Linked DNA regions of Tribolium castaneum. The protein of the gene in region 1 purifies or fractionates together with the protein of each later gene. This does not show direct contact. Links are inferred from orthologs where the notes say so. Each region holds a gene or a part of one and is shown in the gene's direction. Other genes may lie near its edges.

Region 1 (3,931 bases):
CGTTCGACTCCTTCGACAGGATCTCTTTCGCCTGGAACAGGGAAAAAATGACATCACACGATGACTCATTGATGACGACAGAAAAAACATAACCTAATTTTAGCTCGGTCAGGTCAAGTCAAGTCAGGTCACCTTTTTTAGTGAAGTTTCTCAGTCATCTTTGGAAATTTCTGGCCATATTAGGAATGATAGAATGCTTGTGTTTATGACTTTGAATTGGAAAACATGAAATTTGGTTGTAAATTTTGAATTTCGTTAGCTCTTCACCTGGTTTAACCACGAGCCGCCACTGATTCATTCGTAATCATCGGTATGAATCAGTGGTTTGTTTGAGAGGATCTGATAAAAGATCGGGCTCCAAGGATCTAAAGTGCTTATTTTATTAGAGATAACGTAACCAGGACTGTAAATAAGGAGTAAACTGGCGGTGCTAATTAAAATAAACACTTTAATTGCGTTAATTGGAGCGAACACGAATCGATTCAAGGGACTAAAACTAGGCAAAGGGGCGATATTTACCTTATCACATAGTGTCTTTACTTGATTTTCTGATAGTTGCTTACAGTCATTTAACTGTTCTATCCACTGATCCAGTTCTTTACACGACGCTTTATCATCCATTGCTAGCGGTATCTGGTCATACACACGAAAATAAGTTAGATCATAAATAATTACACTAAACTGCTCGAAATTCGGTTTGTTTCTCTACATAAATTACTCGTTATTTTAGTTTTTATCTATTCTCGGATGAACACACCAAAATGGCGATTATGTGGTGGATTTAATAAGACCTCTAGCGGCGGCTTTGTACACTCACACCACCGACCGGGAAACTCAAATCGAACTCCATTAATCACGGACAGAATTTTACCTGGGGCGGTTTGTCGCATAATATTGACACAGCGGACGTCGGAGTTCGAAATTTAATCGGTTTTTGCGTTTGGGGGCTTTTCATTGCTTGTAAGAGACAGTTTGACGCTTTGTTGACATTACTCAAGCAAGGTCGTTTGTTTCCCAGGCCCTGCCCACGCCGCTTGATTGGCCGGTTCAAATAACAAAAAACATGATAAATTAAATAAAAGGTGTGACATAACGCAGTTTCCACAAAAAAATCGTCAAAAATTTGGTACTAGAAATGACCAAAGGTAAAAAATCTTGAAGTACAACCAACTATACAGGAAACTGTAAATGTTCAAGTACCACTTTTTGCACAAATTGTAATGAGGGGCTACAACAAAGTTGTAAAAACCGTTTGGTTTTCAAATTATGCAAAACGTAAAAAAATCCAGGCCCTCCAACCGGTGTGGTTAGCTAATCTAGTGACTAATAGTGACTTTTCGTTGCGTAATGGGTGTTTTTGTTCGGTTGGCAACTGCAGAGCCACCTCTCTCTTCCGTTCCCTTTTCTTTTTGAGCCGGTCTTGTGTGAGGAAGGTCCTCTGAAAAATGTCCGAAACCCTTCAATTGAAAGGCACCCTTTTGGGGCACAACGGCTGGATTACGCAAATTGCGACCAACCCCAAATACCCCGACTTGATTTTGTCCGCGTCTCGAGGTAAGAACCCAAATTCTAACCCATAATCTCCTTTCTAATCCCCATTTATTGGTGAATTACGCAACCATCCGCTTGAAATTTGCCCCAATTTCGCCAAATTGGCCTTCGGGAGCATGTTTCCCGTGGATAATTTCCGATTTTGTTGGTTTTAGACAAGACTTTGATCGTATGGAAACTGACACGTGACGAGACATGCTACGGGGTGCCCCAGAAGCGTTTGTACGGCCATTCCCATTTTATTTCTGACGTTGTCCTGTCGAGCGACGGTAATTACGCCCTTTCTGGCTCATGGGACAAGACCTTGCGTTTGTGGGACTTGGCTGCTGGGAAAACAACGCGTCGATTTGAGGACCATACCAAGGTTTGAAACATACATTTTTACCGTTTTACAGTTTTGATATCTCACGTTGCAACAGTCGGAAGATTTTTTGTTTTTTTTGTATTAACGGCGACTGAAGTTGACTGTTGGGCCCCCTTGTGTAAGTATCGTGAGACATATTAGGCTAGTCCTACCAATGGGTGTGTTAGCAATCATTCGCAAAACTTAAAAATGTATCTGTTTAGGATGTCTTAAGTGTGGCTTTCTCGGTTGATAACCGCCAAATCGTGTCAGGATCCCGCGACAAGACCATCAAATTGTGGAACACTTTGGCCGAGTGCAAGTATACCATCCAGGACGATGGCCACTCTGATTGGGTAAGTGTTCGGAGAAATTTCCGACGTGAGTTCTTTACAACACGAGCACGGCGAGTGCTGCATTATTAGTAGTAGATATGTTTTTTCTTTTCTTGTTAAAAGTTGTTAAATTTACTGAAAAAAAAGGGTGGCGACTATTTTTTTATAATCTACATTTTCTGACGGTATGGATGATATGGACATTAAATTAATTAAATATTTATTAGAAGCTATTTCTTTATCTGTATAAACTTTAAATTTGTGTCTCGCATGAAATTTTTTATTAAATAGCTTTAAAATATGAGTTACGTGTGCAATGTCATCAAGATAAATAGAAATATCAGCGGAAATATTGTTGAAAACAGTGCCTAGTTGTTTATTGTTTTTGTTTTGTGAATGAAATTGTAAATTTGAAGAAAAAGGAAGTTTGCCATTTAAGCTTTTTTGTTAGGTTTCTTGCGTGCGATTTTCGCCCAACCACTCGAACCCCATCATCGTGTCGGCGGGTTGGGACCGCATGGTCAAAGTATGGAACTTGACCAACTGCCGCCTCAAGATCAACCATTCAGGTCACACCGGTTATTTGAACACTGTGACTGTTTCTCCTGATGGTAGCTTGTGTGCAAGTGGCGGTAAAGATTGCAAAGCAATGCTTTGGGATCTTAACGATGGCAAACACTTGCACACACTTGACCATAATGATATCATCACGGCTTTGTGCTTTTCGCCAAACAGGTAATAATCGATGTGATTTATTATTTCGGTGTGATTGTGAAATGATGACACAAAACTTAACCACTTGATTGGCTATGAGAGGTTAGCGGATATGGGGCTGATTTTTTTTTGCTTGAAGCATTCAAACGTTTCGTTTGTTAGGATTTGTTTAAGAAGAACGTTGTTAAAGGTATTGGTTGTGTGCCGCTTTTGGACCCTCTATCAAGATCTGGGATTTGGAGAGCAAGGAAATGGTTGAGGAACTTAGACCAGAAGTTGTCTCGCAACCGCTTAGCAAGGCTGAACCACCACAGTGTCTTTCGCTTGCGTGGTCGACAGATGGGCAAACTTTGTTTGCTGGCTATTCTGATAATACTATCAGGGTGTGGCAAGTTAGCATTTCTGCCCACTAATTCTTGATGTATTTTTTATAATAATAATAAATAAATCCGGAAATAAGTTATATTATTTTCTTTATACATATTTATAAGATTTAAGTTGTATTTTTTACAAAATAAAGTTATGAAAACAAATTCTTTTGTTTGATTAAAAATCCAATTATGATGTCCTGTGAATGAAGCTATGAAGTAACTTTTTACTGAGTATTTCACCAAATACACAAATGTGTATTGGTGGTCGCGTATATATCGTCTGTTGTTGGATTTTGTGTTTATTAGGTTGCATATAACACGCCATTTTACACTATATTTTTTTTTAATTAACCGTCTCTTTAGTTGAGCTTTAACAAGTGATTTTTTTTCTTGTACAAGAGCCATTTAATTTAAATTAGTTAACTTTTTGGGGGTTTGAAAAATATTTTAGCCATTATTTAATATTAGCTATTAAGTGTTATTAATGAATATTATTCAGCAATTGTAAAAAAGCTACTAATGTATCTAATAGCAAACGTTCATTTCTGTGTGATATGTTTAGAAATACCTACAAAAAATATCTATTTATTTGGCAAACTTTAAAAAATAAATTACTC
Region 2 (3,136 bases), on another chromosome or scaffold:
TCGCGTACGACGCAAAAAAGACCAAAATTATTTCAAAAAATTTCTAAAAAACAGTAATATCCTGTTTAATTGTTGTGCAGTATACTTAATAACCTCTGGAACTAGTCTCTTTATTTCTTTTAACACAACTGCTTTCTCAATAAGTTTTAGCAACTCATATCGCGGATAATTTTATACAAATCTATTTTAAAAAAGTTTTTTGTAGAGTATCATCTAGATTATTTTTTAGTGGTTCGTATGTATTTAACTTATACGCATAATGATAGTATTTTTATAATAACAATCAATATCAAAACCGAAACACTTTTTCTTGATGGAGATAATCCTGTAAATTTGAAAGAAATGAATTTTTTAAGTATTGTTTTAATGTTTTTCAAATTATCGCTTTGAGCTAAGACACTCCTTATATTGATTCTACAATTTTTATTAAATATCGTTATTTTTTAATACAGTCCAGAATTAATTGATTTAGACTGTAAGTTAATCTAGTTAAAGCAAATGGCAAAACTACGGGTCAAAACAAAAGAGGTGTTAAATGAACTTATTTGAAATTTGCTTAAAAAATATGAAATGAAATCCGGTCTCTTGTGATTTTTATTTTCTGAAAATTTATTCAATTTTTTATAATTCTATAATTTTTTGTTTGAAGGAGAATATCAAAAAGTGTACTAAACTTGGGTTTTTATTTAATTATGGTTGAAATCAAGTCCACCTAAATTAAAATTTTGTGATTTGCACATTTTCGGACTACATTGTAACAAACAGCCATTGTTTTGCTATTTCAGGTACGTGCCAAAGCTCAACACCACAAGTTCCTGATTGGCAAAAACGGTGCCAATATTAAGAAAATCCGCGATTCGACTGGAGCTAGAATCGTATTTCCTTCAAGTACCGACGACGATCGAGAGATTATCACAATCATCGGCAAGAAGGAGGCCGTGGAAGAGGCTAAAGCGGCCCTCCAAGCCACCATCAAAGATATCGTAAGTTGTGTCTTCATGTTCGAAATTTTGACAACTAAAAAAATTGATTTACTTTAGGACAATATTATCGAGAGCGAGATGTCCGTGGAACCCCGCCACCACAAGCACTTCGTGGCGCGTCGCGGCGAAGTCCTCCACAAGATCAGCGACGAATGCGGCGGTGTGATGATCTCCTTCCCTCGTTCGGGCGTCGACAGCGACCGCGTCGTCCTCAAAGGCTCCAAGGAGTGCATCGAGGCGGCGAAGCAACGCATCAACGAAATCATCCAAGACCTCGAATCGATGATCACCATCGAATGCGTCATCCCGCAGAACCACCACCGCACCGTCATGGGCGCCAAAGGCTTCAAGGTGCAAGGCATCACCTCCGACTTCGACGTCCAGATCAAATTCCCCGATCGGGAGAACACGGAAGAATACCCCGGCCATGGGCAGTTGAACGGCGACATCAACGGCGGGCCGGTGCGCCAATGCGACGTCATCCGCATCACCGGTAAAGAAGAAAACTGCCTTAAGGCGAAGCAAGCTCTCTTGGATTTGGTCCCGGTGACCATCAGCGTGGACGTGCCCTATGACTTGCACAGGTCGATCATTGGGCAAAAAGGCCGCGATGTGAAGGAATTGATGGACAGATACGATGTCCATATTGTCCTGTCGCCGACTGGAGTCAAGGAAGATGTGATTAAAATCACCGGAACGCCCAGTAATGTCGAGCGGGCTAAAGAGGCGTTGCTAGAAAAGGTGCAAGAGTTGGAAGCCGATAGGAAAGACCGTGAATTGAAGGCGTTTGCGTTGAAGATTGAAGTCAATCCTGAGTATCATCCGAAGATTATCGGCAAACGTGGTGCCGTTATCACGAAAATTAGGAAGGATCATGACGTGCAGATTATTTTCCCTAAAAAAGGTGAGTTTGTTTTTGTTTTGTGTGTTGGTAAACATTGCGATGAATGGACGTTGTTTACGTTAAGTGGGTTATAAAGAGTTGCTTTTCATTGATATAATAAGTGGCGTAATGTGAGCATTAAAAGCGGTGGAATTATGGTTTGTTGTTGGTAAAGCGGGAGTGGGGGCACGTGGCAATTGAAGTGTTGTCAAGCGAGTCGTAAAAGATGTGCTTTTTATAGTTTTCTAACAACTATATCATTTAGACTTTCTTTGAGATTTTGTATTGAATTATGTGTTAACCTAATTAATTTAATCGAAGAATTACGTTTTGGGTGATAAAATGTTTAACAATTTAAAATTAATATAAATTGTTTTCTTCGAATTTTTTTATACGTTTTTCTTAATTTTATTCGAGCTCCTGTTGGCCATAACTGTAAAAAATTACCAAGTCAAGAAATTAAACTTTTTCACAAATTTAATTTAATTTTAAGACCGCTTTATAGAAAGCTCTATTAAAATTTTATGCGCTGTTCATTCCGTGATTGGTTTAACTTAGTCACGTAATCAGCAATCATCTAATCAGGCATTTAATTGCGGATTAAATTAATATCGCTTGTATAACCGAAATCAATGTTGTTTTTCTTCAAATACAAATGTTATAGTTAGGTAGAGAAAACTTCGAATTTTCCTTAAAATGTACTCGTCTTAACGAAAAACTTAAAATGTTTGACTTTATCACTTGTTGCAGTAAACTTATACGTCGCATTTTCTCTCAAAATTATTTATGCACTTCAAAAAAATAATAACTAATGTAATTTATATTTTTAACGAGAGATTAATAACTGTTTTACAATTTTATGGATCTTATAATTTGGTGAAATGCGATGTTGGCGTTTTTATAGTTTTGAAACAGAACGATATTTTCTTTAATTTCAGTTAATCTGAGCTTCGGATTGCTTCATTTTGATACTTAAATTTTCCTAAAGAAAGAGATTTGAAATTTTATGATCGGTTTTTCAATCTCACATTATGTTCATGTTAAAATCAAAATCTTGAAATTCGACCATAACTCTAGTTCATTTGTAGGGAGTTCTTTGATTTATTTATTGATTTTTCATGTCTTTTGGACTGTTTTTCAATTTTGTGTATTGAATACAAGTCGCGAGGAAAACTGTCTTCTTGCAATATGAAAACTAACTAACTAATTTAGGTCTTTTAGTAAAATTTGTTTTACTATGAATTTCTTATTTATTTTATAATGTAATATA

What was found.
Region 2: the proteins of Rack1 (region 1) and Dp1 purify together in Homo sapiens (affinity purification with mass spectrometry; 3 studies listed by BioGRID and IntAct, with this or other methods). This does not show direct contact. The link is inferred for Tribolium castaneum from reciprocal best matches to the Homo sapiens genes RACK1 and HDLBP.

What each region holds. Positions count from the first base shown.
Region 1 is NC_087399.1:653,577-657,507, reverse strand, and holds Rack1 (small ribosomal subunit protein RACK1), read left to right. Parts: upstream 1-1,375; 5' UTR 1,376-1,445; coding exon 1,446-1,554; intron 1,555-1,706; coding exon 1,707-1,915; intron 1,916-2,118; coding exon 2,119-2,250; intron 2,251-2,680; coding exon 2,681-2,964; intron 2,965-3,133; coding exon 3,134-3,356; 3' UTR 3,357-3,406; downstream 3,407-3,931. Other genes in the region: mts (serine/threonine-protein phosphatase 2A catalytic subunit beta isoform), read right to left, coding at 1-31, 520-633, 872-955. UniProt on the Homo sapiens protein: Scaffolding protein involved in the recruitment, assembly and/or regulation of a variety of signaling molecules. Interacts with a wide variety of proteins and plays a role in many cellular processes.
Region 2 is NC_087395.1:19,404,719-19,407,854, forward strand, and holds part of Dp1 (vigilin), read left to right. Parts: intron 1-785; coding exon 786-983; intron 984-1,040; coding exon 1,041-1,887; intron 1,888-3,136. UniProt on the Homo sapiens protein: Appears to play a role in cell sterol metabolism. It may function to protect cells from over-accumulation of cholesterol.